Linked DNA regions of Arabidopsis thaliana. The protein of the gene in region 3 interacts with the protein of the main gene of each other region in a pairwise test. Each region holds a gene or a part of one and is shown on either strand. Other genes may lie near its edges. The genes, in order: CAND1, OFP13, ZML1 and WRKY45.

Evidence for each region.
Region 1: the proteins of ZML1 (region 3) and CAND1 interact in binary tests that used the Arabidopsis thaliana proteins (3 or more experiments, as listed by UniProt).
Region 2: the proteins of ZML1 (region 3) and OFP13 interact in binary tests that used the Arabidopsis thaliana proteins (3 or more experiments, as listed by UniProt).
Region 4: the proteins of ZML1 (region 3) and WRKY45 interact in binary tests that used the Arabidopsis thaliana proteins (3 or more experiments, as listed by UniProt).

The regions. Positions count from the first base shown.
Region 1 is NC_003071.7:687,690-693,154, reverse strand, and holds the start of CAND1 (cullin-associated and neddylation dissociated), read right to left. Parts: upstream 3,372-5,465; 5' UTR 3,220-3,371; intron 2,844-3,219; 5' UTR 2,811-2,843; coding exon 2,775-2,810; intron 2,693-2,774; coding exon 2,517-2,692; intron 2,417-2,516; coding exon 2,209-2,416; intron 1,920-2,208; coding exon 1,754-1,919; intron 1,476-1,753; coding exon 1,346-1,475; intron 1,161-1,345; coding exon 1,046-1,160; intron 834-1,045; coding exon 676-833; intron 589-675; coding exon 465-588; intron 303-464; coding exon 252-302; intron 171-251; coding exon 88-170; intron 1-87. Other genes in the region: AT2G02550 (PIN domain-like family protein), read right to left, coding at 4,391-4,558, 5,337-5,465. UniProt on the Arabidopsis thaliana protein: Key assembly factor of SCF (SKP1-CUL1-F-box protein) E3 ubiquitin ligase complexes that promotes the exchange of the substrate-recognition F-box subunit in SCF complexes, thereby playing a key role in the cellular repertoire of SCF complexes.
Region 2 is NC_003076.8:1,396,967-1,401,650, forward strand, and holds OFP13 (ovate family protein 13), read left to right. Parts: upstream 1-2,428; 5' UTR 2,429-2,718; coding exon 2,719-3,501; 3' UTR 3,502-3,818; downstream 3,819-4,684. UniProt on the Arabidopsis thaliana protein: Transcriptional repressor that regulates multiple aspects of plant growth and development through the regulation of BEL1-LIKE (BLH) and KNOX TALE (KNAT) homeodomain transcription factors.
Region 3 is NC_003074.8:7,420,178-7,425,929, forward strand, and holds ZML1 (ZIM-like 1), read left to right. Parts: upstream 1-1,858; 5' UTR 1,859-2,044; intron 2,045-2,644; 5' UTR 2,645-2,654; coding exon 2,655-2,948; intron 2,949-3,064; coding exon 3,065-3,157; intron 3,158-3,230; coding exon 3,231-3,364; intron 3,365-3,452; coding exon 3,453-3,584; coding exon of another isoform or gene 3,585-3,588; exon of another isoform or gene 3,589-3,955; coding exon 3,956-4,061; intron 4,062-4,188; coding exon 4,189-4,260; intron 4,261-4,358; coding exon 4,359-4,421; 3' UTR 4,422-4,728; downstream 4,729-5,752. Other genes in the region: AT3G21170 (F-box/associated interaction domain protein), read left to right, coding at 1-983; ACA9 (autoinhibited Ca(2+)-ATPase 9), read left to right, coding at 5,593-5,752. UniProt on the Arabidopsis thaliana protein: Transcriptional activator that specifically binds 5'-GATA-3' or 5'-GAT-3' motifs within gene promoters.
Region 4 is NC_003074.8:325,100-329,657, forward strand, and holds WRKY45 (WRKY DNA-binding protein 45), read right to left. Parts: upstream 2,314-4,558; 5' UTR 2,061-2,313; coding exon 1,807-2,060; intron 1,705-1,806; coding exon 1,515-1,704; 3' UTR 853-1,514; downstream 1-852. Other genes in the region: AT3G01961 (uncharacterized protein), read left to right, coding at 82-252; AT3G01980 (NAD(P)-binding Rossmann-fold superfamily protein), read right to left, coding at 2,648-2,926, 3,000-3,519, 3,643-3,734. UniProt on the Arabidopsis thaliana protein: Transcription factor. Interacts specifically with the W box (5'-(T)TGAC[CT]-3'), a frequently occurring elicitor-responsive cis-acting element.

The DNA.
Region 1 (5,465 bases), on a different chromosome or scaffold from region 3:
CCAAAGGTATACATATTTAGTTAGCAGGGTTTCATCAGAAATGTGACAGACCATCCATATTGAAGTGAAAGGACTCAGAATTTTTGCCTTGATTCATCGGTGTCAGTTTGACCTTTTGTAACATTTCCCGTTTGCCGCAACAGATCAATGAATGTGTTGAATACATCCATCTGTAACAACAGTACCTCAGTCTTAGATCAATAACCATATTGCAAAGCAAGAATAGAGCATTAATGGATTAAATTACATACCTTCACATTTTCCTCCCTTTCCTTAAATCTATCAATTAGTTTCGGGCAGGCCTGCACAAGAAGAGACTAAACTCCTCAACAATAATTCTATAGTAGATTCTTGTTTCATATTTAATCAAACACAGGTAAAAGAATGAAAAACTCTTGTGTAAGGGAATCTTGTACACTCCCGTCATGAAAGATAATACGCTTGATCATTTAAAAAAGATATACCTCTTGATATACTTTAGTGAGCATCTCAGAACGCGAAACGATTAATCCTGCTAGGCATTTGGCCGCTGCTCTCCTAACTTTCCAGCTGGCATCTTCATCATCTGTGTACTCATTTGCACTCTCGCTGTGAGAAAGAAAGACTTATTTCAGTGAGATAATGGTGCACCGTAAGGAGCTAGGCTACTGTTCCAATGAATAAATCAGAACTTACTCATCTTCTTCATCTTCAAGAGTCTCATTATCAGTATCTTCCTCCATATTGTCCGTAAAATTCGGGTCATAACTAATATATTCTAAAGTAAGATTTAAAATTTCATCACAATATGGTGAGATGTCCCTGGGACATCGTAGCAAGAAACTTTCAAGTGCCTGCAGTCAAATTTCAGAACAGACATGTTATCGTCTACATTGTTCATACCAATTTTATTGAACCTAAGATTAGAATTCCAATTTAATAGCATAGGAAAGAAAAGAGACTACAAGCACGCCTAAGTAATTGTCTGATTACAAAAATTAGATGAGAAAACAAAAAATGCAAGCGTAGTGAGAAAGTAGGAACATTAGGGAATCTTGCACGATACCTGTAAGCTATACTCGCGAAGCTCCTCGTCATTTTCTGAAGCGCTAGTGCAGTAATTGATTAATACTGGCACAGTGTTACCTAGATGAGTGCCAAACCGGTAACCAACAGCACGGCTGAAACAAAAACGCATTAAATAGCATTACAACCATGGCAAGCCTAGTCGTAGATAACCATTCATCCCAATCAATAAATAGGTAGCACAAGTACAACTAACCGAAGCATACTACAACACTACAGTAACGTATGGTAAGAAGTTAAAGATATATAACAAGCCGATAAGAAGGAAGATAGGAAGTACCATAAAGCTCCAATCATTTGAATATTGGTACGTGTAATCTCCGATTTTGCATTCCTGTTACTTAGATTTTTCACAACTTCAACAGTCGCCTTCGCGAGCAAATCATCAGACAGACTGGAAGCAAGAGAAGCTGACACCACACAAAATTTTGAACTTAGAAGAGGCTATATACCATCGAATTAAGAGTTCTATATACGACTAGGAAAAAAATGACATTGAATATATCATTTGAACTAGCATCGGTTTCACAAGAATTGACGCAAACAGCTGAAAACCATATTTCTAATATAGATAAGGAAAGCTACCACTCAAGTCTCGGCAGATTAAAGTTGGTTTCAAATTAGCTAAATATTGACATTAGTACCGACAGTACCCAGCAATCATATTGACTCAATTTTATGAACTTACCAATGCATGTAACAGTCTTCTTCCTGACTGTGGCTTGGTTACAGCCCAATTGCAATAACAATGTATTCAATAGCTTCTCGTGATCATCCGTCATTAAACTTCCATATTTTTGAACAACATCACACATGATCTCAAGACATTCACACTTGATCCCTGAGCTCATTCCCTTCAGCAGTAAATACGCAGAAAATTAGTTACTTGTAAAATAAGATGATAGAACCTTAGAGTAGACAAATAATTATATGCATATACTGTGCTCTGGTCTACTAAGAGTTTTTCAGACAGAGTTCTTTAACTGTATTAGATCCAATAAAACTTAAAACGTAAAATCAACTAATTTTCCAATAGATGTCAATCAATATGATTTTGATGGGATCCGAAATTGTCTAGGACGACCCTAAGCACTGTCGCATATGCAATCGAAATAATAAGGAATAGACCTCCCAACAACTAACCTGGCCACTTATTCCTCCTATCATTTGTGGTGTTAGAGTAACAAGAATAGATGGAGCAAGCGTAGGAGCAATTTGAGCGACAACAGTCCTGAGAGCTATGCTTGCGGTATCACGATGCTGGTCTTTCCCATGCAGCAGTTTATCACATAACTTGTTGGTCATTTCAACAATTCGTTCTTCTCCAACCTTCTTCACCAATGGAGCAAGACTGGAACAAAATCATAACATCAAAGGTCGACGATAGATCAGCTAAATGTAAAAGTATAACATCAGCTTAGGTCATAAGTTGCTAAGAGCAGAAAGCTAACCATTTAACAGCCAATCCAGAAACATCACCAGCCACATCATCGAGCTGTTGCAATATGATACTCGACAATCTCACCTCCAAGTCCAGGTCGATTTTAAAGGAATCCTTATTCAACTCATTAAGCAAATCAGAGGTTGCCATGTATCTGTAATCTTTATCTTTACCCGTCATCTGAAACTATAGTAAATACAGCAATGAGAAAAGGTGACTATACTCAAAAACAAAATTAAGCTTAATTAGAAACAGATGATGAAAAGACCTTTTCGAGTATCCCAGAAACTTGTAAGTTCGCCATATTGGCCCGACCTTCTCAATTCACTCCTTCCAACTGCAATCAAACAAGGATCTCAAAATTCATTACTTAGTAAAAAGAGAATCAACCATGCGTTGAACTAAAACGCTTAGTCAGAGCAATGTCACTCTATCAAGCTCTCCACAGAGGTTAAAACATCAGAAACAAAGTCAGAAGTGTAAAGAAGAAGCATCGAAGATGGATTAATTATCGCCGGTAACAAAACCTAATTAATATCCCTTAGAAAACTTTTGATTCATCGAAGATCACAAAGAAGAAGTTCGGTTTGATAAATCAAAGTATCGTCGCCACCAAAACCCTAAGACTACGACTACGAAGACGAAAAGAGTTAACGCTAGACATCATCACACTTTATCGATCAAAAAGCAAAAAAGAGGTAACCCTAAGTAACCTGAGAAGATGAAATCGACGGAGGTAACGCCGGAGACGGAGTAGAACGCCGAGAGTTCCGATTTGGTGGTGGTGGAAGTTGCGGAGAGGAGAGAGCTCTGAGGAAAGTAAAAAAAGATGGAGGAGATACTGTAAATTTCCGTACTCGTGAAAGCTTGATTTTTAGCCCTTCTCTCTTCTTAAGGAGGAAGTTAACTTTCTTCTAAATGGGCCTGTGTAGGATTAATTGGGCCTGACTTGGTGCGATTTGAGTCGGTTAATGGGTAGCGTTTATTTCATGCTGTACATTGTTGGACTTGATTAGTCGGTTAATACTAAATGGGTTTGGCCCAATTACTTTGTTTTCAGTCTGAGCCCAAGCATGGGTTTCTTTGTTTGATCCAAGTAGTTCTTTTTTTGTTTGCTTTTTTTGTGTCAGGGACATGCTATGCGATTGCGACCAACCAACTAAATAGTGTTAGCCATTGGTTCATCGACAATTTATGGTCAATATTTTTGAACGATTAGCAAGTAAAAAATTGTATCACTGAAAGTTTTCAACCTAGGCCAAGTATATGTGGTTTAGTGGTAGGGGAAGCTTTGGGAAGGATGAAACTCTTAGACCCGAGTTCGATTCTCCTTGAAAGTTGGTAAGTGTATAAGTTGGGTCTTGGTTTAATTGGTTTACTTGGTAATTAGAAATGTAGGCGGCCGCCTGACTACCCCCTGGCATTAGTCAGAAAGCATTTCAAACTCGTGACAGACAGACAGTATGGTGGTTTTTCGGGAAGAAGTCCACTCGAAAACATTTCGGTGTGTTTTTACTAGGGCTAACCAGATCAGCCGATAAGGTTTATAAGAAAAAAAAAAAATTGAATCAAAATCATTTGTTAAATGTTCCCGACCCAACGACTACCAAATAAACATGATTTCATTGTCGATAGTCATCGCTAACGATTATAAAGTTAACAAAATATAACTGATTGTCATTGTTGCTAACGACTAAAAAAAACTAAAACCGTAAAATATGGTATAGATGTGAGATTTTTTGTCGAAATTAGACTTCCTTTATTTTGAACTAGAACTTCGAAATTCAAATTATTAGATACTTTTGTCTAAGTAGTTTCTTCGTCATCTGTTTCTTCCACTTCCACGTGTGTAAATTTTTCGTGGGTTTCAGGATTAAGTCTTCCTTATGCTATTTCCTTAGTCTTAGTTGTTGACAAATATGTGCCCGTAGAATCTTCATACTTTCGAATGACAAATTCATCGCCAGACTCACGGTCACGCAAGAATGGAAGGTTAGACACCTCAGGCACATTCAAGTGTTGAAGCTCTTCAATTACTTGATTATAGACATACTAATATTTGAAAAGCAACAAAATTATGAATTTTTTCAGATGAGAAGTTAGGTCAGTGCTGTCCTCTAGTAGTTCCTCTATTACCTGAAAGAAAATGAATAACACACATCATGTCATCATACATGCAAATACAAAATCTAAATGTATAGTATACTACTATTTTGAACTAAACCAAGTAAAAAGTACCTCTCTACCACGTATAGTTTTAGTACCAATTATTTCATATGCTCTTTCGGATCCCTCCGTTAATGGCCATTTAAAATAGTCACAATCGCAAAGAATGCACATCTCCAGAAAATTATCGTCTGTGAATTCTGAAAAATCGTAAGATTTTGCTTCTTCTTTAGTTTCTTTTTCGTTGTCTTTATTTTTCTTGCTACTATGAAACCGCTTCAATAAGTCTATCATTTCGAGTTCAAGCAATTCAAAGTCTTTACTGGCGAAAATAATTTGTGATCACACAAAAGTTTAAAGTGGTAGTAAAAATTAATGTTATGTCTACATGAGAAAAACCTTTAAAATAATAATAATTGATAAGTGTATTAAAGAACTTACTCTTCAACATCTAAATGGTATGAGGTCAGTGTTAATAGTGAGAACCGCATAAACGCTTTTATCTTTATTATTAGCCAAATATACAAGCTGTGAGCAGCAACGATAAACTCAATATTCGGATACTTTTTTTTTTTAAACCTTCAATGGGAGAAAAAAGAAAGGTTAATAAAAAATTAGAAAGAAGTGAAAATTCTTAAAAATAATTATTTACCGTAAATGTTACCTCAATGAAAACATGTATCACATAAGGCGTGATGTGTATATGACTTTGAAAGATCTTAGTAGCATTCTTCTCTTTGTCCTTTCTCTTAGGGTCATCGGGAGCCATAAGTTGTGCTGATGCGTCAAGATC
Region 2 (4,684 bases), on a different chromosome or scaffold from region 3:
AACAAAATGCATTTATCTTGAGTTCTCTAGCTACTAATGATAATGCAAATAAATACTGAAGCTAAACAAAATGTAAACAAATTCTAAGCACAATATTGACCATTTATCAAATCTACCAACTTAAAAGTTAGTAAATATCAACATCAAAAATATTTGAGGTAAATTTCTTAAAATACTTTATTTAGTAATGGATAAAAAACAAAAAAAGTTTAAATCACCGTGGAAGTTGTTGAGAAGTTACTTCTAAGATTTCTTACAACTGTGCTTGGCATTTATTATTTCTTACACAGTTAAAACTCAAGTAGAATAATTATACTAATGTCGGTCTTTAGCAAGGGGATAAAAGAGGCATGTCCAAGATGTTCATGTATTATAATTTCGGTTTTCGTTGAATTGTTGAAATTGTGAACAGTTTCATAAAACCAAGTAAGAGTATTCAAATAACTTTTTGTTAATCAACTGTATAAATAGGGAGCAAATTTAAAAGGATAATATGGCAAAAATGTCGTATTTGAACATAAAATTAAAAAGATGTAGGAACACTGTAGAGTATTCCAAATATTGCATGTTATAAACTTTATTTTTAGACATCTTCATTTGCAAACACGTTACAAGTTGAATAGTCTATCATGAACACTGTAGAGTATTCAAAGTACTGTAAATGAAAAAATGTAATTTATATATAGTCTAATGTATTTAAAAATTTAAACCATAGAGAGGAATATACTGTACTTTTGTAAATTTGGTCCCCTAACTAAAGATCTAGTAGTAGAAGATGGAAATCCACAGTTAATATATGCGTGATTCAACGGTGCCCTCTTTAATTCCTCACATGAGTTTTGCACACAATCTTTCTCTCTCTTTTTCTTATTCTATGTTCCCATATTTATCCCACAAACGTTGATCCAATATCTTACGCAAATTAAGGCAAAACAGGAAATTTTTGCAAAAGAGAAAGATATGGAGGTGTTGGGTAAATAAAGTTGAAAATGTACGAAAATAATGATGCATTTATTTCACAACAATGGGTTTCAACATCAGATTGCTTCTGTTTAAATCTTTTACTACTTTCAGTTTTATATCTCTGATAAACTCTATAATATTGACTGATTCCTAAAGGACACTGTCTCAGGATCTATCCCCTACATTCTTGTTCTACCTTGATGGATCATATATTTTACCTTAGTAAAGAAAATCGTCCAAGAAATTCATCATTAATTAAAAACATACATATAACATAGTCCTTCTTCGAATATAAGACTTCAATTCCTCAAAAAAAATTAAACGAAATAAATTATTTTTAAATATATATTCAAGAAACTGATGTTCATCGAGTTTAATTATTCAGTTGAATTACAATTCTTACTTTTAGAAATTTGTATTGCGACCAAGAAGAAACATTCTTTAAGCTCAAAGCTTCATATAATTTACACATACGTAATTTATAGATAACACGTTGACCGAGAGTATTAGAAGCTCACAGTGCTTATAGGAAAGTCAAAACTGACTGCATCAGTACGATTTTTACGTGTTCGTTTATGGATTATATAATACAAAATAGCTTATACATCAGTTTTAAAAAAATTAAACAAATTAATTAAGATGTAAAACACTATTAAAGTCGTAAAGAGAGAGTAATTAAAAATGAGAAGAAGATTTGACAAGACGAGCCAATAGACAAGAATGTAGTACCGTCAATCAACCTTTATAAAGTAGTAGTAGTATATAAAATTACTAAATGTTTATTGGGATTTGTTTTTCTGCAACATTTTCTTGTAAGCAATCGTTTTTAATGCTTTGTGTTCTGCACAGTGCTTTGTCATTGGCTCGGGACTAACATTTTTTCTAGTATTATTTTATTTTATTTTAATTAAAATATTTAATTTTTCTTGTCTTCAACCAAATTGAATGCTACTGCTGTGTCTTACTATACTTGTTCATGAGTATAATATTATCATCTTAAATTTAGATAACAAAGACAAAATAAAAATTCAAATTCCCATAGAGCCATTATATCGTGTTTGCATGAAACTTTTGTTAGTTAAAAAATACAAATTCAACCTCTCCAACAAGGCAATAACAACCCATGGAGCTAATAATATGTAAACTGCATGAGGATAAGTGTTTTCGTCACACAAGAAGATTGTCAATTTTTCAAAACAGCAAAATATTTGTAAAAAACATAATTCTTCCACTCATGTGTATATCAATAAAATCACAACGACAAAAACATTATTGTAAAATGTAGCAATAAACTATTTGTAAAAATAATATATCTCCATTATAAAAACATTTTTGTAAAATTGATCAATTATTAGATCGAATAGTGTAGAAAAAACCAATATTAAAAATTTGGATTGTAGCAAATCAAATATTGGAAAAAACTATTGAAATCCCGGTTGAACAGAAAACGAATCGAAAAAGCTAACCACAAAGCAAAACAAAAACAAACTATCAACTTCAATCATCGTAATTTTTATAGTTAAGACTTTAGACTAAATAAGTAAAAGCACTTCAAATAACTAACCAGAAAAAAATGGAAAATTAACAACAAATAGAAAAATATCCCAAAATTAAATAGACACATGACCTGACCCCACCAGCTCTCTCTTCTCTCCCCATATATCGCATTCCCTCCAACTCCTTCCTCTTCCATTAATTACTAAACCCAAACCCAACCAAAGATCTTCACAAAGAAAAAAACAATTGGTGGTATCAATGGGGAAGAAGAAGATGAAACTCTCTTCTCTGTTCAAAGGCGGAGCCGGAGGATTACTAGCGGTTCCTCTCTGTTACAATGCCAAAACTCTTTCGTTCCGAGTCGGCGACGACATGATCAAGACGGTGAACTCTGTTTTCTTCGACCACCACCACAACAACAACAATGGAGGAGATTTGTTGGAAGCGGAGACGCCTGAGTCATGGTTTACTAACTCGTCCGAGACAGCGAGTCACTCAACCGAGTCGGATCAAGACCTTGACGCTGAGTCCTTAGAGATGGTGGTTCGTGGCGTTGTTAGATCGGAGCGGTTATTCTTCGATCCAGGAGTTACGAGTTCGATTCTGGAAGAGATTGAAGAGAAATCGAAATCGGATTTGAAATCGAAGGAAACGGTTGCGGTGGGAGAAGATCGGAGTACGCCGATTGAGGAGATTAGTGTCGCGGTGGCGATGGAATCCGAGGATCCGTACGGTGATTTCCGGCGATCGATGGAGGAGATGGTGACGAGTCACGGTGAGTTGGCTAAAGATTGGGAGAGCTTGGAATCGATGCTCGCTTGGTATTTGAGGATGAATGGGAGGAAGAGTCACGGCGTTATCGTCAGTGCTTTTGTTGATCTTCTCTCTGGACTCTCTGATTCCGGCGCCGGAATAACGTCGGCTTCGGTATCGGATTCGGCTCGTTATTCAACCGCCGTTTCGTCTTTGCCGTCGTCGCCGGTTTATTCGTTATCTCAAGGTCAGACGGAGATTCAAGAGGAAGAGAGACGGAGCTGTTAAAAATAAAAAAAGGCTTAAGATTCGGTTTTAAATTTTTTAATCTCCGGTTTTGTTTAGATTAATTAACCCTTTTTGGATTTTGTAAAAAGTAATTAGTGGTTAGAGGAAAAAGAACCATTAAATATATATCAAAAATATTTTTAGAGCCATTATTGTTGATTTATGTGTATAACAGTGCCTTTTGTCATAACTCGAAAGTTACACTATTTTTCCCCCAAAATTCATGAAACTCAGCGAAGTTTATGCCAACAGATTCAGAGAAATTTTGTATAACAGCCCCATTTTAAAAGGAAATATACATAAGAATAAATTCTGTGATACTTCTTTTTATTTAAGCTCTTTATTTTTTACTTCTTTTTTAGGTTTTAAAGGACATAGAATTATAATTTCTCATTTTTTTTGCAGGCATATTATATAGCCTTTCTCATTAGATGTAGGCATGTAGCTCCTTTGGCATCCATATTAAAAATTTTTTTGTCACAAATATTGGACCTTACATTTTTTTTCCCCAAATAAAATTTGGTATTACGAATTTTCGATGGTTACACAAGGACTACTACACTAACATAAACTGTAAGACTCATTAAATATCATGCTCGGATAATTCATGTATTAACATTAATAACATAGAGATTTTATTTATTGATTTGACTCTTAAAAGCATCATCACGTAAGATATTTAGCAAAACCCTTTTTGTGATATCCATGCTGGAGTTAAAATCTTGAAAATAAGCGTAATAGAAACACCCGTAGTGTATGTATAAATGTAATTGTCATGAACTTATGAGATTCAAGTTTTAAAAATACAGAAAAGGATAGTGTATTTACGAGGGTGCATTAAAAGAGAATGTTGGTCTATAGTAACGTTTGAATTGAAATGTTACAAAAGAGATTTGTAATTTGTATTTTGTATTGTGAAGTGAATGGAGTAACATGAGATGAGCAATGGTGCTGTGGTCAGTGGTCACACACACACAGGCCCTGTGAATCCCAACATCATAGACCTACTCACTTCTCTCTTATCTCTTTTCATTTATTACTCTACATTTAATTTTGGGACCAACCTAGACGACGACGTTTATTTGTTTTTGTTTTGTTTGTTTTGTTTTGTTTCCTTTCTTTTCATAATTTTAGAGCTATGCATGTTCTCATTCCTCCTCAATTTCACAAAATTGATTTTTCT
Region 3 (5,752 bases):
GATCCAATCTCCGTGGAATTCACAATAGCGTTGCTCCATATGTTAACATAACATGTCATTTTAGCCTAAAAGAACATCTTTCTAATAATTATTCAACAGAAGTCGATATAGGCCACGTCTTTCACTGCGATGGCTTATTGCTATGCACCACCAAGGACTATAGACTGGTGGTTTGGAATCCGCTTTCAGGTGAAACAAGGTGGATTCAACCAAGATTTTGCTACAAGAAAGATGACTGCTATGCTCTCGGTAGATCCTCTTGCAACAAGTACAAAATCTTGAGGCAGGGTCGTCTTATCAATCCTAGCGAAGAACGTTACGTGTACAACATCGTGGGGGAGGATCTTGTTATCAACAATAGCCAAGAACGTTACGAGTACGAAATCTATGACTTTAACTCTAATTCGTGGAGGAGTATTGGTGTGATCACCGGCTTGTTCAATCCAAATATCACCAGTGGCGTGTCTGTAAATGGAATCACTTACTGGTTTGATATTAGTGAACAATTCTTACTAAGTTTTGATTTCTCAACAGAGAGATTTGGAAGTGAGTCTCTCCCAGAGGGTGATAGTCATTTGGCTTTATCAGTGACTAGACAAGGGAAACGACTTTGTATGTTATCTACTAATTACACATACGTAACCGGAACAAACGTTAACTTATGGATAGCAACGAAGACTAGTGAGAACACCAGAGCAATGTCATGGAGCAAGTTCCCAATACTGCGGGGCGGAGTTGGTCTACGCTATCGTTGTCATTTTAGGGAAGGGGTGAGTTTCTTCGCATACCAAGTTAAGGAGAAGATTGTTGTAGTTTCTTGTCATAGACCCAACCGGCACTCCAAGGACATCATACACATTGTGGAAAATGATAAATTCATAGAATTGGATCATCATGGTGCAAAACCTACACATGAATTATCTCCTACCCCACGTCTCCTCATATATGTTCCAAGTTTGGTTCAAATTCAACATGGTATTTAGTTCTTTGGAGGAGGCACCAAGTCAGCCAGTGCATGGCCTTGTAATTGTCACACTAGTCTATGCATTATCTAATCTAACTCTTGATATTTTATAAGTAAGATATATGTACGCATTTCTAAGTTATAACTTGTTGCTACCCTTTTGCTAGTGGATAATTCGAGGCACATGGCATTTTCATAATTGGTCAATTAGTTATTAAGTACCAAAATTTTGAAAAGGAAAAAAATTAGAAATGCTTAGAACATATTAGAGCAAAACATATGTAAATTTTGTGCAAGAATAAGGGAAAAGCAAATAAAATCAAAATAAAATTGTATATTGTGGAATTAAGAAATGAAAGAGGAACGCAATTTAGTTTTAAAATCTGACATATTAGATATAGTTGAGTCAATTGTTTTCCACCGAAGAATTGGTTGTGGTTCCATCTAACTTAAGATATTTTGTGTTAAGATGGTTTATTTGTAGAGATATATTATAATTATATATGATTTCTAACCAAAACAACAAGAAGTTTTTAAAGATGGGTACAAATTGAATTAACTAATGTAATTCCACATTGTCATTTGGTAAAAGAAAGATATCTTGACAAAAGAGATTAAAAGAATTATGTGAAAAACCTTGGCGACCTTAAACCATCTCCAATGTCTTTATATCTTTGGCATCATTAAGAGTAAATGTGTATCTTGATCAAACCTGAAACCACTAAAGAAAAACATATGAACTCAAATAGAGGCCAATTAAAGATGAGGTCCAAAGAATAGGGAGTGTCAAGCCTTTCACAAAGACGACGCCGTTTGGCTAAAAAAGGCCCAAGATCACAACGACGACGTTTGCTGAAGAAAAATGAAAAATCTTTCACTACAATCATTAGACCAAAAAAGAAAAAAAAAATCAAAGGAGCTTCCTTTTTTCGCTCTCGTCTCCGTTTACCCTTTTGGGATTTTTCCCTAAACCTTTTTCTCTCTTTGTATAATCAAATCCTCTTTATCTTTCATTGTTTCGCGTGAATTAGCTCTGCAAAGGCTCTTCATTCTTCTCGCTTGGATTCCTCTGCACAAAAGGTACCCATTTGATGTCAATTTTGGTTTATTGTTTTGATTGCCCTGTCCAAGTGACAAGTCTTTGTATGTATGATATAGGTAGTGGGTTCTAGTTTGTAGATGAACTTGTCGAATTTGGAGGGTTTTTAGTTGGAAGCATTTATATGTGGGATTTGGAATTGTTCTGTCTATTTGTTCTTAGCTTAAAGGTTGGGACTTAGCTTAGGACTTATGAGCATGAGAGAAGGAGACTTTTTTTCCAATTCGAATCTGATTGATGAAACTTTTTTTACTGGATTTGGGTAGATATTGTTACGTTTTAAGGTAGTTGACTGTTGTTAGTTGTTGTTTACTCGAGATTAGATTATTGTCATCTACTCTTGTTATAAAAGAAGCTCCTTTGTACTATATCAGTGCTGATAACTATTAATGAAGTTCCTTTCCCTTAGGTGGAGATAGTTTCTTTGTATTTGCAAACTCAATTTATGTGAGAATATATCCACCATTATTGAGTTTCTTCAACCTATACCGTCTCTGACAATCTCGCTTTTTCGTTATTAAGAACGTTCCAGTCTTAATTAATGTTATCTTCCTTTGGATGTAATTGGTAACAAATTGCAGAAAAAAGACCATGGATGATCTTCATGGAAGAAATGGTCGAATGCACATTGGTGTAGCGCAAAATCCAATGCATGTGCAGTATGAAGATCACGGTTTGCACCATATCGACAATGAAAACAGTATGATGGATGACCATGCTGATGGTGGGATGGATGAAGGAGTGGAGACAGACATTCCTTCTCACCCTGGAAACTCAGCTGATAATCGTGGTGAAGTTGTAGACCGTGGAATTGAAAATGGAGATCAATTGACATTGTCCTTCCAGGGACAAGTTTATGTTTTTGACCGTGTCTCGCCTGAGAAGGTAACTTTAAGTTAATTTTGGTTCTTTGATGTTTTAGTTTTGGATACATATGGTCAACGTATCCACCTGGTTGGTTTTGTTTTTCGCTTATTGAAGTGCTGCTCAATATTATGCAGGTTCAAGCTGTGCTTTTGTTACTTGGTGGAAGGGAAGTACCACATACACTCCCAACAACCCTAGGATCACCTCATCAGAACAATAGGGTACTGGTAATAAAAGATTTAATACCATATGGGAAATCAGTTTATTCCCCAGTTTGTTGCTGACTAATAAATGAACCAGGGTCTATCTGGTACTCCTCAACGGCTTAGCGTTCCGCAGCGGTTAGCTTCTTTGCTCAGGTTTAGGGAGAAACGAAAAGGGAGGAACTTTGATAAGACTATTCGCTATACAGTCAGGAAAGAAGTAGCCTTGAGGTACGTTTATGTCAAGTACTAGCTTTTGTGTATGTCGAGCTTTTGAGATACGTCTGTTTTGCAATTAAGGTTTTGTTTGTTCATGCAGAATGCAGCGTAAGAAAGGTCAGTTCACGTCGGCTAAATCAAGCAATGATGATTCTGGATCCACTGGATCGGATTGGGGGTCAAACCAGAGCTGGGCCGTAGAAGGGACTGAGACTCAGAAGCCAGAGGTTTTGTAAGTTGAAAATGCTTTAAATTTCTTACAACAGTTATATTAACTTTAGTGAACTCGTTATAAAACCTCAATTAAGTCTAATACATGGAAACAATTTATTTGGTAACCATTTAATGACGCTCTTTTCACTTCCATAAACTTTGTCTATATACGTCAACTCTGAAATTTATAGTTATACTTATCATGATGGCATCACTCATTCGATACCTGCAACTGATAACTTATACTTGTGAGAGGATAAAAATAACTGAACCGACTATGTTGTTGCATGTTAAGTCATTGTAGTTGATATGAACTTATTTATAGCTTGGTATACTTGGAAAGCTTGTCTCTGTTCTTATTCTTCGTCAAATGGTTGTGAACATGTTAAGATGTCGACACTGTGGAACAAGTGAGAAGTCAACTCCAATGATGCGACGTGGACCTGATGGGCCAAGAACACTTTGTAATGCGTGTGGACTGATGTGGGCAAACAAGGTAAGCTAAGAGTTTCTTAGTTCACATTGATCACCTCGTCTCGTATCACTTTTTTGACTCATTGATCAGGCCTATATATCCGAGTATGAACCTAACAATAACATTCCCTTTGACTTTATAATATCAGGGGACTCTTAGAGACCTATCCAAAGTCCCTCCTCCGCAAACACCTCAGCATCTATCTCTGAATAAGAATGAGGTGAGCCGTGAGCGCAGTATTTCATAGAGCTGGAGTTTTGATTTGCTTATTAAGAGAACATACATTCATTTTTTTTTTCTCAATCACTTTTGTTGCAGGACGCAAATCTTGAGGCTGATCAAATGATGGAAGTAACTGGTGACATTAGCAACACACAGTGAGAACTGAGAAACCATTGGAAGCAAGAAAGGATCTCAAACAAAAACAGTTGTTATCATTTCATTTGATGATGGAATCGAATCTGAGTTGTGTTTAGGGTTTCTCTGGGTTAATCTCAGTCTATGTGGGCACATTTTAGTCTTCTACAAATTATAAGACACTCTTCACTTATTTAGAAGCTCACTCATCAGAAAAGAAAAAAAAAACTTTGCTCAGTCTCTCATCTGTGTGTTTGATTATATTTTCAGGCAGAAAACTTTTTTTTGTTCTTGTATTTGATTACAATTAGTTAAATATTTAAGACTTAGTAGAGATAATGCAATCTATGTATAAAAATAGAAACAATGATTGGTTATGTCGTGCAACCCAAGTGACCTTAATGTCGTACACACGTTCATCAGGTTAAAACGAAATTTCTCAGCAACTTCACTATTCTCTCTGTCACATTGTTTTATTCTTTTCCATTATCTTTATTGGAAACTTGATTAGAAAGAACTGATTAAGGTATGAAGATAATTAGTGTACCATTCTTCACATGATACGAGGTGAACAATAGTATATCAGAATACTAGAATAATTTTATAAGTTATAAAGATGAATGGTATACCACTTATTACAAAACGAAAACATAGTTAGATCTGAGAAGAAGGAAAGATTTTTGTTTTAAAAAATGAGATGGTTAGATATATGCCATGTTAAGAGATGCCACCATGTTCTTCTTCTTCTTCTTACCCGGAAAAAACTCTTTCTTCTTCTCTTTCCCATAAAAAGAAACAAAAAAAAACTAACTTCCCACAAATTTTGCCAAACCAAACCAAAAATAGTAATGATCTCATTCAATTTGAACCCTCTCTCCATTTTCTTTCATAGTTTTTTTTTAGGGTAAATCAAAATATTAATGTTGGTTAGAAACTCAAAAATTAGTTTCTCTTTTTTTTCTCTGTGATTGACAGAGAGGTAAGAGAAAAAAAAGAGAGAAAGTGTTTCGGTTTTTGTTGCCTTCTCTCGAGTTAGGCCTTCTCTCTTCCGTCACACCATCATTTTTTTTCTCCATAACGACCAAATCATAAAACCGGTCGTTCCTATTTTTTCTTTCTCTGCGTTTTTTGTTTCGAATTCTTCAATAGAATTTTAAAAGAAAGAAGAAAGCTGGGTGAGACGAAGGAAGGAAGAATGAGCACTTCGTCGAGCAACGGATTGCTTCTGACGTCAATGTCAGGACGTCATGACGACATGGAAGCTGGTTCTGCTAAAACTGAAGAACATTCTGATCATGAAGAGCTTCAACATGATCCTGATGATCCTTTTGATATTGATAACACCAAGAACGCTT
Region 4 (4,558 bases), 7.1 Mb from region 3:
CTTTTTTTCTTTCCCGATCGAGATCTACCTGTAGCTGGTGTTTCATGCATTCAAACATAGTGTGTTGTTGCGTAGATATATATGGGAGGGTTTCGTTATGTTGTGACGAATACATGCAGGGAGATAGAGATATCAAAGACGCGTGGTCCTTCGTCTTGCAATAATATCACTCAGAAGCATAACATGTTGATGACGAGATCTCAACTTTCAGGCTCAAACAGCCACGACGACACATCTCATTTTACAATTTAAAATATATGATATATGTGTAATTATACAGTACAGGGTTCAATCCTTACGCACTATATTTACGCTCCTTAATTATCTATCTTCCGCGGTAGACAGATGATACGGACGATTTATGAGAAATATCTCGGAGAAAATTTATAAGATATATCTTGTAGTTCAATTAATAGATATATTATTCTCTAAGTTCTATATGAAATAATGGATGGCGCAAAGCCGCAAACTCTACAATTTCTCATTGCAAAACATATTTTCCCAATTGCTATATAAAAAAAGAACATAACATTTTTCCATTCAATGGGTTCGGAAAAAAGTGAAAGTGTTGAGATTAAGGAACCGTTATTTTATCCGTGTTTAATAAATTTTGTGTAACTAACTTTTTCGTATAACTTTTGAAAAGAATCAAGAAAATGTGGATAAGTTTCGATTTATGTAAGAATGTGAATTAATTTATTCGTGAGAGATTAATATAAAGAAATTCACAAGCGAATAACATTATCTTCGTGCGGTATTGTGGCGGCGGTAAATTAAAACGCAACAATTTGAGTTTGATAATTATTACGAAAGACTTAATTAGCTAAATCTGTAAAATAACATTATCTTCGTGCCGATGTCATCAAAACACTCTAGAATAGAAAAGGAAGAAAGCATATCTTTTGAGAAGATTCTGACTGTTATGTGATCTATATATATTCTGTTGCATATTTGCTTTTGTGTTAAATGGTCCAATGGTATAATCCAATAATATCACCATATTCCGGATGACATGGTCCTTGGTTCTTTTTGTAAAGATTTGGGCTTGTTGGGCTGACTTGACATTATGAAAAACACGAGAGCCCAGGCTAATGGGCCTAACAAAGAAAGCGTCCTCCGTTCTAAAGCGAAACGTGAAGCATATTCGCAATTGGATCCAAGAAGAAACCTCAAAGTTAGCTTTCGTACTCTTTCTCATCTTCATCTCCACAATATCCTTAGCTTGTCACTAGTTTTGGAATAATCGGTAGGTTTGGGATACATAACATTGTTTTTGTAGATGATAGACTCATCATTGCTTCTTTATGTTTGGTAATTTGATGATGAATATACTTTCGATTACAGGGCAGCCGAGACTAAGACACCAAAGCAGATGGATTCAAAGGTCCCATAAAGACAAAGATAAGGATTAGTATTTTTGAGATATGTGAGTTGCTGCTAGTTTAAAAGTAAAGGTCTGATGGTGTGAGCCCAACGTTTTTGGGAAAGTAAATATTACAATCCAATTCCTCTAATCATTCCTTCAAGCAAAAGGGAGGGAAGATGTGCATTTGTGTCAAGATGTGGTGGAAATTATCAGAGGGTTTATCAACGGCATGTGTATGAACACCTTGGTATGTCGTCACCACCACTCCTTCGTCTCCCCATTGCCTCTGCACTTGCTTCTTCACTCTGCATCCTTCTTCTGTGCACTTATAATAGCTCCTATATATATATATATTCATATTTTACATGTATGTATATGAGTCTCTTATTTGATCACCATAGCAAGCATACAGTATCATTCATTGATGATTAAGTACGTACCTGGGGAATGGATTGTTCTTGACTGCTTTTTGGCCGTACTTCCTCCACCTGTATCCATCATCCAGTATATCAACCTGGCTTCTTGTCTGGAACGCGTACCTCGCTTCTCTCTCTTTCTTCTTCTTCTTACTCCTTGGCTTCTCTTCGGATGATGTTGTCGGCTGAGCAGAGTTGTCGACCCCATGAAACTCTGTCAAGCGAGGATCAACCGATGATGAACATGGAAACAACACATCACACCTCCTATCCTCCATTTCTTAACTCCCTCTGCGTTTATGGTGGGAACTTGAAAAAAGCCAAGGAGGGGAGGGAGAGAAAGAGAGACGTACACGGTAGCGAAGATGCCAGAGAAAGTGATATATATTGAAAATATGGCTACATTAGCGGATCCATCACAGAAAAAGAGTTTTGTGGAAACAAAAAGGTGTGGCGGCTACATCATTCTGATTTATATTATTATATATGCAACTCCTTCAAATTTTGGTTCAATGGATTCAAATTTCAAACATATTTCTTGGTCAAGAATCAATATGCATCTAGATCTCTGAGGTAATCATTCTTTTCTTATTTGATTTACAATTTGGATTAGCAAGGTTTCCAAGATAATATCCAATATCACGTGTATTTGAGGTTCACCTACCAAACTTGATTGAATTCAATAAACAATGAGCTCGAATGATGTTGAGATTGTTGACTATTTTGGCTCTTTGCTTTCTTCTATACTTGTCAAAAGTATATAATCATTGATTCCATGGATTATTCATCCCTCCATAGTTATTCAAACTTGATTCATATTCACTTTTTACACACAACATAGAATTATAATAATACTAGGCATTGATCACATGTAGGATTTGAGACGGGGTCGCGTAAGGGACTGCGCTCCATCCACCAAGACAGTGGTGCCTGTCATGAAGCGTGAGCCATCGCTGATCAAGTAGATAACAGTGGAGTAGAGGTCTGTGTCCGGGTTGAGCCACTGGCCGAGGGGTGCAGCGTCCTTGACCAGCTTCTGCGCTCGGTCTCTTCCCACAGAAGCTGTATACTCATCATCCAGATGCAGCCCTCTAGAGATCATGTTGACCCGTATCTTGTGCTTCCCGAGACTCATGGCTGATGCCTGAAACCCAATCATCAACAAACATATTCAAGTTACGAACGCGATGTGTCTAATTAGGAGCTAGGATGCATACCCGGACGAGCTGGTGAATAGCGGCAGAAGTTGAAGCGTAGGCATCAGCGCCAGGGTAAAGCGCCCTCTCTCCGCTGGCGATAGTGGCCATGAAGACAATGGAGCCTCCTGATCCATGGTCCTTCATCCTTGTGGCTACAGCCTTCAAGAGAAACCATGGAGCGGTGAGATTGATCTTTGTGATTCTGTGGAACTCATCTTGAGAGACTTGAAGAATGTCCTGCACCTTTCCTGCAAGAAAGAAAGATTGTTGAATAAAGGAATGATCAACACACAAGAGCATCAAAGGCAGGGTAGTGAAAAACAAGAAGCAAATTAAACCTTGGTAGGTATAAGAGTTGAGAAAAGCATCGAAATGGCCGGAAAGTTCCCATGCCTTTTGGACAGCGGCATGAAAAGCAACTTCAGAGTCAGATTCCATGTCGAGTGCTATAACATCGGCAGGGAAGGCTCCCTCAATGGAATCTCTAATCTTGTCTACAATGCTCCTTAGGGAACCCTCATTTCCCATCATTACCAACCTAGCAACAGTACATTGCATTTTTTGAAGGTTAACTATAGACACCAAAGTCAACCACAACACAAATCGGGGCTAGAAGAAGAAACACAGGATAGGAGGAAAGAAGACAAAATGAGAGACTCACTTGCAACCGTGTTTGGCTAGATGGAAAGCGATGTTTCGGGACACCTCGTCGCCGTTGGATGTCATCAACACTCTCTTCGCCGGATTTTCCATTTTGCCAAAGTAACTCTTTATAAAACAATTCAGCAGATTCAACAAGACTTAAGGGAGGGAGGGAGTGAGATTGATTCGATCGCCAATTCTAAATAACTATAAAGAGTGGCTGCAAAAGCTCTTACCGGAACTGTGTCTGTGTGTTACCAAAACGGCGAAACAAAGCAAATAATTAATGCCTAACCACATGATCCACCACGTTCTGTTGTTACCTTCTTTAATTTGTAGATAGAAGAAGATGGTGATTGATAACGGAGATGTATTTTTTTCTTTAATAAAAAGCCCACTTCAAGGCCCAGATCCATTTCTGTACTTTGTAGGTTTTCCAACTTTCCCGGCGCCGGAAGCAAGCGTAAGTTATCACTGTTCCCCAACCAAATTCCATCATATCCTATTATCCTACTACTAATGGATCCATCTCCAAGATTCCTAATTTCACTTTGCTACAAACTTATTTCGTGTTTTTGGTTTATAATTAATAGCCGTTGTTGGTTATGAATATGTAAGCATAAAAGGCATTTGGGAGCTCCAGACAGACAATGAATCATCAACATCAGGTACTCTGTCTTTCGTTTATGTTTCTGTTCCATTCTTTTGAAATATATAGAGGAGGAACTTGTTATTAGCTAGTCCATTGATCAACACACAAAGAGTGAGAATGAAAGCAATTCCTCCAACCAAAAGGATGCTTTCCCTTATTGATTTAGTTGGACCAATATATAAAGAGAACAAAGGAGGGTGTTGGTAGGTAACAAAAGATTCTAGGTGGTGGGAGGGTAGTGGATTTTTGAAAACCGTGTGTTGACTTAATGAAAGAGGTGTAG